2 linked regions of the Arabidopsis thaliana genome follow. The protein of the gene in region 1 interacts with the protein of each later gene in a pairwise test. Each region holds a gene or a part of one and is shown in the gene's direction. Other genes may lie near its edges.

Evidence for each region.
Region 2: the proteins of HD2B (region 1) and GRL come close enough for resonance energy transfer, tested with the Arabidopsis thaliana proteins (one study listed by BioGRID).

The regions. Positions count from the first base shown.
Region 1 is NC_003076.8:7,532,295-7,537,306, forward strand, and holds HD2B (histone deacetylase 2B), read left to right. Parts: upstream 1-1,651; 5' UTR 1,652-1,825; coding exon 1,826-1,838; intron 1,839-2,098; coding exon 2,099-2,169; intron 2,170-2,259; coding exon 2,260-2,468; intron 2,469-2,598; coding exon 2,599-2,678; intron 2,679-2,763; coding exon 2,764-2,915; intron 2,916-3,029; coding exon 3,030-3,110; intron 3,111-3,210; coding exon 3,211-3,319; intron 3,320-3,460; coding exon 3,461-3,587; intron 3,588-3,681; coding exon 3,682-3,760; 3' UTR 3,761-4,033; downstream 4,034-5,012. Other genes in the region: emb1211 (MORN (Membrane Occupation and Recognition Nexus) repeat-containing protein), read left to right, coding at 1-2, 90-856, 940-1,347; AT5G22660 (FBD, F-box, Skp2-like and Leucine Rich Repeat domains containing protein), read right to left, coding at 4,034-4,321, 4,412-4,552, 4,636-5,012.
Region 2 is NC_003071.7:14,800,681-14,805,758, reverse strand, and holds the start of GRL (transcription activator), read left to right. Parts: upstream 1-1,908; 5' UTR 1,909-1,999; intron 2,000-2,214; 5' UTR 2,215-2,233; coding exon 2,234-2,635; intron 2,636-2,728; coding exon 2,729-2,803; intron 2,804-3,183; coding exon 3,184-3,264; intron 3,265-3,471; coding exon 3,472-3,552; intron 3,553-3,666; coding exon 3,667-3,749; intron 3,750-3,844; coding exon 3,845-3,929; intron 3,930-4,015; coding exon 4,016-4,141; intron 4,142-4,275; coding exon 4,276-4,383; intron 4,384-4,677; coding exon 4,678-4,952; intron 4,953-5,066; coding exon 5,067-5,078. UniProt on the Arabidopsis thaliana protein: Involved in regulation of actin and microtubule organization. Part of a WAVE complex that activates the Arp2/3 complex.

The DNA.
Region 1 (5,012 bases):
TGGTAATGACCCTTCAAGATTTTAGTCTTACATGGTTGAATGCATTGATGTTCTACTGATTTTTTTCTATATTTTATTTTCTTGATCAGTGGAGGTGACACCGGAGTTTGTTTTACTGAACAAAGAACCTGAACCTGATCCAAATGATCCTTCAAAACTTGTCCAGAAGGAGGACCCTGTTATTTTACATACACCAACAGGTCGAATAATCAACTATGTAGAGGATGAAAAGCATGGCATTCGACTATTTTGGCAGCCTCCTCTGGAGGAAGGAGAAGAAGTGGATCCTTCAAAAGTTGAGTTTCTGCCACTTGGGTTCGACGAGTTCTATGGGAAAGAAGTGGTAGTGAAAAAGGAACACCCAATAAAAAGCTTTGTACTTGGAATCGAGAAATCGGTGAAGCCGATGCTTGACGGATTAGAGAAATGGACAGAAGAGAAAAAGAAAGCATATGAGGAGAGAAAGGAGATGATACAGCAAGAACTTGAGTTAGTAGAGGCTGAGATTTGCTTAGAGGAAGCTATAGAAGATATGGATGAAGAATTGAAGAAGAAAGAACAAGAAGAGGAAAAGAAAACTGAAATGGGTTTAACTGAAGAGGATGAAGATGTTTTGGTCCCGGTTTATAAAGAAGAGAAAGTTGTCACTGCCAAAGAGAAGATACAAGAGAATAAACAAGAAGAGAAATACAAAGATGATGATGATGAGGATGATGACGATGGTGATGATGATGACGATGATGATGATGATGATGATCTTGGGCCATCAAGTTTTGGATCTGCAGACAAGGGAAGGAGGAATTCTCCTTTTTCTTCATCCTCATTGTCTTTTGCTTCGTGTACCCTCTTTCCTGCGGTAATACTCTCTCTTATTTTTCAGTATAATCTCGGTTTGTCTCGATTAGAAGAAGTTAGTGTTGATATATGTAAACTTGGCAGGTACAATCAAGACTAGAAAGCTCATTTCTAGCATGGAAGCAACATCGAGCAGAACCATCAAAAGTGAACACAGGAATCATCAAAGGTGCTGATACCGCATCAGCTTCAATCCATTTTCCTCCATTGTCGAGTAACAATGCTAGATTGAAGATGGGAAAGGTAGCAAACCGAGGTTGTGTCCAGAGAAGCTATGGAAGCTCAAGATCTCAGTCTCAGTTAATGTCTCTATCACGACTACTTTCTTGCAACGCATCATCATCTTCTTCTCCTCCCGATAGCAGCTCCAGTGAATACCTCAAAGACTCCGGCCTCTGGGAAACACCGGTTGGGGACATGAGCGTGGTTTTGTCGCTGCAAATTCAGACAAAATGTTCTGATTTGTTTGCTGAGACTCCTGCTGTGTCTTGAGTCTCTCTTCTTCTGTAGCATTTAGCTCGAGTTCTTATGCACTTCAAGGCTTCTTTTTTTGGTGGACAAGATCATTTGAATTTTTGTTGTATTATCTAATAAATATTTTACCGAAACTATTTAAACGAAAAAACTGAAGATTTATTTCTGTTTTATTTTTCATAATCATATGATTTAGAGAATGAGAATCGAATAATCTCAGAATATTTAAGTTAATATTTCATTTATCAATTTAGAATCTTTACCAAATATGCAAATAATTTTACATTAACGCAAATATTCCAAAATAAAGGAAGCGTTACGAAATTAAGGGCAAAACGACGCCGTGTAGACTCTCGAAGAACCCTAAAGAGACTTCTTAAACCTCATTCGATTATAAAATAGCCCCAAACCCACTGCCTCTTTCACTGCAATTTCTCTCTTTCGCTTCTAAAAAAAAACCTAACAACCTCTCTTCTCTCTTCCTCGTTCAACAACAATGGAGTTCTGGGGTAAGATTCTTTATTTATTCCTCTTATATCTTCCGTCTACTGTTTCTATTTTCCACGTTCCGAGAATTTTGATCGATTGTTCATATAAGATCGTATTTAGCTGTATTTCGTGTATATGTTCATACCTTGTTGCCTTTGTAGCTTATTTAGGGTTTAGGTTTCACATAGAGCTTGGTTTCGGTATCAGCTTTGATTATGTGTAGATGTTTTACAAGTTGATGAGTGACTCATGTTTGATTTCTTTGTATAATGTTATTTAGGAGTTGCGGTGACACCAAAAAACGCTACTAAGGTGACTCCTGAAGAAGACAGCCTTGTCCACATTTCTCAGGTTATTTTCACACTTCCAAACTGTATAAAGTTTTTAGGATTTAGCTTAATACAGTCTCTTTATGTTTTGGTTCTCTTTCTTTATGTGTAGGCTTCACTTGACTGCACAGTGAAATCTGGAGAATCTGTGGTTTTGAGTGTGACTGTTGGTGGGGCTAAACTTGTTATTGGAACACTTTCACAAGACAAGTTCCCTCAGATTAGCTTTGATTTGGTTTTTGATAAAGAGTTTGAGCTTTCACACAGCGGTACCAAAGCAAATGTTCATTTCATTGGCTACAAATCCCCCAACATCGAGCAATATCCTTTTTTTGATAGATTTGACTAGGTGTTCTTTGTCTCTATATTTAAGACTGGAAGATACTAGAAGGTTTAGCTACAATGTCTTATTGGTTGTGTATTCCTTAATTCTTGTTGATTGAGTTTCCACGGATGACTTCACTAGTTCGGATGATGAGGATGTTCCTGAAGCTGTTCCTGCTCCTGCCCCTACTGCTGTTACTGCCAACGGTATGTGTTGTTGATGCTAATATTGTATTTGTTTCTTTTATTGAAAAGTTGTTATCTCATATGTCAATTTCTTTTGACATTTCAGGAAATGCTGGAGCAGCTGTTGTCAAGGCTGACACAAAGCCAAAGGCCAAACCTGCCGAAGTGAAGCCTGCAGAAGAGAAGCCTGAATCAGACGAGGAAGATGAGTCTGATGATGAAGATGAGTCTGAAGAGGATGATGACTCTGAGAAAGGAGTGAGTTTTTGTAGCTGTTTATGATATCTGTTTTTCTATCTAGAGTACTCATATATACAGTCAGGAGAAGATGAGTAGTTGGTTGATAAATTATATGGTGATGTTTTTTTGTAGATGGATGTTGATGAAGATGACTCAGATGATGACGAGGAGGAGGATTCTGAGGATGAAGAAGAGGAGGAGACTCCTAAGAAGGTAGATACATTGTCTATCAAGCAGTTCTTTGTTTACTTTACTTTTTACATAATTTAATTCTCCTTCTGACCTTAATTGTATCATATGATTTGTGTTAAAGCCTGAGCCAATCAACAAGAAGAGGCCAAATGAATCTGTATCCAAAACACCCGTCTCTGGAAAGAAGGCAAAACCAGCAGCAGCACCAGCTTCTACTCCTCAGAAGACAGGTGAAAAGATGAAACTCTCTTTGTTTTTGTTCCTTAGAAGCATTAGATAGTTAAATAATGAGAAAGCTTTCTTAGTAATTTGTTGTATACTCTGTTGTATTCTGACGAAAGAGATATCTTCACATTGTGTTGTTGGTACAGAAGAGAAGAAGAAAGGAGGACACACCGCCACACCACACCCAGCTAAGAAGGGTGGAAAGTCTCCTGTGAATGCTAACCAGAGCCCCAAGTCTGGAGGTCAATCATCCGGTGGTAACAACAACAAGAAGTGAGTTGTCTCTTTCTTTATCTTTCTCATAGCCCAAAGATATGAGTGAAAATGTTAATTGGTAATGATGTGTAATGGTATTGTGTGTGTACAGGCCATTCAACTCAGGCAAACAATTTGGTGGTTCCAACAACAAGGGTTCTAACAAGGGCAAGGGAAAGGGTAGAGCTTAAGGACGTGGATCAAGGAGAGGTTTTGGGTTTTCGAGTAGATGATGAAAACACTTGGAAGTGTGGTTTTGGATTTTTATCTTATTTTATTAGTATAACTTGTTATCGGATGAGCTATTTTGAGTATTTGCAATTTCTACTTTCCTATGTAATTCAGTATATGAATATTTGCTGAAATGAGAAAGAAGACTCGAATTGCAAACACAAATTGAGTTTATTACTTATAGAGTATAAACACCAAAATTGATGCATAATAGCCAAATCAAATTACCAAGCCTATCTTTGAAATCTAACAACGTTGATTTCACAAGCACTAGAACATCTCTGGAATGTCATGAGTTCCCTAACGACGAGAGACTCTTGTTCCTCGCTATGACAATCTCTGCATAGCTTAAACTTCTTGAGGACTAGCGAATTCTCAAGGAAATATTTTGATAGTTTCATCTCTTCTCCACTTCCATAGTTTGGTCGTATAATCTCAACATTCTCAAGGCTTGATTGCAAACACTTCGGCACTGATGATGATAGACTGATTTCTTCATTTTCCATTTCACCTTTCAGCTTCTGCATATGTCAATTATCCCAAACAGTTGAATAAACGTCTTTTATAACAGTGACAATGAAACATGTGGTTTTTAAAGCAAAATCATTTACCAAGACAAGTGATTTGAGATTTGGACAGCTCTCAAGAACGCATGGCAACATTTCCAAATCACAAACATAGAATTTCGCATGTAACCGCGTCATGTTACGAAACTGAGGCATCGGCTCGTGCTTCAAGTAGTGACAAATGATCTGCAAAACACAAAGAAAATGCAGTTTTCATCCTAAGAGACACATTCAAATGACCAGTTTTATATATTTGTATGCATATATACCTTCAAAGTTGTTCCACTAATAGTCATGTCCCTTAAGCTTGAGAGCCCGGTGAGAAATTTACCGACATTGCTTCTCTCGAACGACTCCTCTAGATCCCAAATATCGGACACATTAAAACTGACCTTGATATCTGCCTTTGCAGATGAACACAAATTGTTTATCACAAAACTCACTGACTGATCATCTTTAAGACTTAGATACACGAGCTGAGGAGCATCAATGACAACCTTCCAATCGTCACTATCATCATTATACCAACACTTGGAACTATCAATAACGAGTTTGAGACTGTTTAGTGACTGAGAGCTCACCCTTAAAACCTTCTCAGTGGCTTCATCTACATTTCTAACAACAGTTAAATCTTCAAGAACCGGGC
Region 2 (5,078 bases), on another chromosome or scaffold:
CTTTTAATGAAATGAAATTGTTTGAATAATGGTAGAGAATAATGAGCTTTGGCGTTGAAATTGATTGGATCTTTCATGGAGTTATGCCTTTTTCTTCTTAACTGCAAAAAGTTTCGGACAGTACATCTTCGTGGACCGAAAACCATAACCCTTAGCGGGTTGAACTAGTGCTTAGTGCTTAGCAAGCTCCAACTCCTTTGGAGGGACCAAATCAAATGCTACTGGACCACCATCCATCTATTTATAAACAATTGTACACCGGATTGGTAATGTTCATACTATATAAGATAACATGTTGACAAGAAAAATGCTTCTCTTCAGATGGACCTTACCTCCGTAGGTCTAGGCACGGCAGCAACTACACTTGTAGACTCTTGAATTAATTTGGAGTTCAGTAAAATAACTGCCCAGTCCTGAGATGAAGAAATTGGAATCCAAGATAATAGCCGAGTACAAAGAAGAAGCTAATGGAAGATTCATGCGAATAAAGAATATAGGTTCGGTCATATTGTAGCAACCGTGTGAAAACCGTTTTTTTGTTATTTTCTGGTTCATAGGGACCTCAAAAGATAATGTGAAAGGAAACAAAATCTGTGATGCAATGATATGTGCACAGAGGGAAAAGATTTTGGAATCATTGTTGCTTATTGTGAAGGCCAAGCTTGTTTAGCCACAGTTGTCCAACAAAGTTACAAGATGTGCCTTGTAATACAATATTCCTGCGTTGTCAACCCTACTTTATTATATGAAGTTGTTTTTGTGTGTCATGGTTTCCACTAATTTACTTATTAATTTGATTGTTTGATTGTTTTCTATTAGTAAAAAAGTAATATCAACATTATGATTAAATTCTCAAATCAAATAATTATGTTGAAAAGATGAAATGCTTGGATAGCACTGAGCTTTGGACACGCAACAAAAAGTGAGGGAGGGGCAAATTCATCATCAGAAACGTCAGAAACATTATTTATTAGTCGAATCATACTAAAGTTTAACACAGTAATTCTAAAATAATTGACAATTATTACACCTAAAAGCTACTCCATATGTAGAGATAATGATAATTATATACTACAAGTTAGTATTTGTCGACGTCAATATTGTTCTCTTGGTTAATTGTTTTTAAATATTAAAAATTACCGGTTAAGGGACTTGTTCTCATTTTGTCAAAGCTTCGAAAACTTACATTTCAACCACCCAACTAGAACGTTTGTTCTTTTTCTAACAGAAATTTTCCTTTTAAATACTAAAAATAGTACTTACTACATAATATACCAAATACTTTTTTCTATTTTAGCTATCCTCATTATTGAAATAGATGTCGTAGATTTGAATTTACCTTCTGTTAATGTACATATGATAAAAGAACATTGGTTTGTTATGCTAAAATCTCAATAGTTGGAGCTAATCCTATAGTTTTGCTAAAAAAAACTTGTAATCCAAATAACTACAATCAAACCAAAACAACACATGATTTGAAATATCATTTTTTCTAGTGAAAAAATGTTGTCTTGCACTGCTCAAATTCAAGTAGACAATTCCGATTCAATATAACTAAAAATCTCATATTTTATTAAAATTTTATAAACAATTTATTTTTTGAAAGGGATAAACACTTTCAGCTGTTCAATTGTTCATAATTTTCTTCTACTTACATTGTTTCGTTTCCTATGGAAATGTTTAGATTTACAGGTAAAAAGTAAAAAATGTGCTTGAGCAAGAAAAGAGTAAAAAAAAATAAAAAAATCTGCATTTTAGTTGAAAACGAAAGAAATTCTACTGACTAATTTTGTCTTAAATGAGAGAGACCCGAATTTAGCAACTCTTTATTTCTCGGCTCACACACTCCGATTAAGCCCGACGCTCTCTCTCCTCTTTGTCGTCGTCATCATCGTCTCCGGAGTAGGTTGCAGAAATTCAGATCTGAACTCTCAGACGAAGCTCCGATCTTACTGAGACATTTTTGCTCGATTTGACTTTCGCCTTTAAAGCTTCTCAGGTAACTTTCAATCTTCACGAGACTCTTGCTTGACTTGGTTTTAGCTCCTTGTTTGGTTGCTGGGAAATTGACGAGGGGATATCTATTCTCACTCGTCACTCGTTGTTGAGTATTACTGGGTTTTTGGAAGATGAATGCAAGAGTAGAGAGCTAAGTAAATTATGTTGGACGAGATTGTGTAACGTGATTTTGAAATACATTTTCCTTTATTGTAGAGATTATTGTACTGAATTAATGGCGAATTCTCGTCAATATTATCCATCTCAAGATGAATCAATGTCCCCGACTTCTGTGAGATCAAGGGAATGGGAAGGTCCTTCCAGATGGACTGAGTACTTGGGACCTGAAATGGCTGCATCAGTGTCTTCTACTAGGAGCTCTAAGCAAATTGATGGACATGTTGGTGGTTCCACAAAGGCTTTGAACATACAATGGGTAGTTCAAATGATTGAGGTTGCTGACGGTCTCATGGCTAAAATGTATAGACTGAATCAAATCTTGGAGTATCCTGATCCTGTTGGCCATGTATTCTCTGAAGCATTTTGGAAAGCGGGTGTCTTCCCTAACCATCCACGGATATGCACTTTGCTCTCTAAAAAGTTCCCTGAGCATTTCAGCAAATTGCAACTTGAACGTGTAAGTCATGAGTTCTTTTTTTATTAGACTTACTGTTTGATTTGTTGATCTGATGGTAAATGAAAAAAGATTTATTCTGCAATACTTATGCAGATTGATAAGTTTTCACTGGATAGCTTGCATGATGGTGCTGAACTTCACTTACAGAGCTTAGAGCCATGGATACAGGTAATAAGAAACTATCTATGTAATATGTTGTTGGGTTTACGTTCTGTTGTTGTGAAACTTGTTGTTCGAGAATGGTGAAGCATCTCGGAAGTCCTACATGCTATATAGTCAATCTTTCTATTAGTTTTCTTTGTGTACCTAGTCAATCTTCAATCTTCAGTCTGCTATATAGTCAATATTCAATCTTCTATTCCATCTCACCATTAGTCAGCTTTATATATCTGGGCATGCATATATGATTTACCTAATACATGGTTTTAACTTTTAAAATGTAAACGAGTAGTTATTTGCTAGCCTTCTTTCCTTAGTTCGTGTGTAGCATTTCAGTAAGGGGTGCCTTCATAGTCCTCTCGTCATGCATTTTTCTTTTCTTGAATCAGCTGCTGCTCGACTTGATGGCATTTCGAGAACAGGCACTGCGGCTTATATTGGACCTAAGCAGCACTGTAATTACCTTGCTGGTGAGTCAAAGTCTCTCATCTGCGGAAAGTATTTACTTGCTCTGGGTTGAAACTTTGAGCTTTCTTTTGAACTCGTACCTTAGGTGGAGGTCATGAAATGTTTTGGTACATTAAGTTATTATTTACTTGTCAAAAATGTCTGTGAGGATGAAGATAAAATTGTTGAGTATTCATGATTAGCTCATAACTTAGTTCAGCTTTTTGCAGCCTCATCAGAACTCACTTATTCTGCATGCATTCATGGATCTCTTTTGTGCATTTGTCCGAGTCAATCTCTTCGCAGAGAAGGTATGCTGAGCTTGTTCCTTTTCTTAGTTCTTTGTTTATTTGGATTGATTACACATGTCATGTGAGACATTACATTATTATCAATATGTAAGAGTGTTTATTTTATCAAAGTAGATTCCTAGGAAAATGTTGTTGCAAGTCTACAACCTTCTGCATGCGCTATCAAGAAATGATCGAGACTGTGACTTTTATCACCGGTATGGATGTTTTTTTCCTTGTAGTATCATTTTTAATTTGTATATAATCAATAGACTCTGATATCATATATTAACACTCCTCGTCTTGCATCCAGCTTGGTGCAATTCATAGACTCTTATGATCCCCCATTGAAAGGCTTACAAGAAGATTTGAATTTTGTCAGCCCAAGGATTGGAGAGGTTAATATTTTATTCAAATCACGGGTATCCTACGAGCTAATATTGCAACTGATACAGCAGTACTAACAACGTTACTATTTTCCTAGGTCCTGGAGGCTGTAGGACCCAGTATTTTTCTATCTGCAGATACGAGGAAGTTGAGAAATGAGGGATTTTTAAGCCCATATCATCCTAGATTCCCAGATATACTTACAAATTCTGCTCATCCCATGGTACGAACGGCTAGATTATTATCAACATAAAAGCTTAGGATTCTCAGAATTAGTAGGATGCTATTGTCTTTCCCTTACAACTCTACTTCGATGTATAGTGCTAATATTAGATAATACACTCTTGGTTCCTACAGAGAGCGCAAGATCTTGCAAATGTTACTTCGTACCGAGAGTGGGTGCTTCTTGGATATCTCGTTTGCCCCGACGAGCTTCTTCGTGTTACTAGCATTGATATCGCCCTGGTATGAATCTGTTTTTCATTTTGTTCTCGATTGTGATCTTGATAAAGAAGTTTTTCCTCCAAGGATTCTATCTTGAAAACTATCTTATCTGGTCAATAATAGGTTCTATAAATTTGTTTCACAAATCAGAAATTTTCTGCCTCTCTCTGCCTTTGTTTGTAAAATGTTAAGTGCTTTCATTTTCAGTGTTTGTTTAACTTAAGATTAGTAATGGAGTTAGGTTTTTGATGCTCAAAACAAATCAAGATTGCGTGTAATTCGTGCTGTCTCTAATACTGTCCTGTTGTATTTCAGGTCGTGCTAAAGGAAAACTTAGTCGTGACGTTATTCCGGGATGAGGTGAGTTTATATCAAATGGTCTGCGAAAAAGAGTTTGGTATTGGAATTAGTTTTGCATCAGCTGACTCTATTAATCTAACTATGCAGTACATTCTGTTGCACGAAGACTACCAGTTGTATGTTTTACCCCGAGTGTTAGAATCAAAGAAGATGGCTAAGTCTGGACGGACTAAACAAAAGGAAGCTGATCTAGAATATAGTGTAGCAAAACAAGTTGAGAAAATGATCAGGTAACTCCAATTTTTAATAGTTCAGTACTTTGTAATCCTCATCTGATACTGGAGAATTTTTGTGACTTTAGCTCTGAATTTATAGATTTACTTTTGTTTGGTCGCTGCTTTCAGTGAGGTGCATGA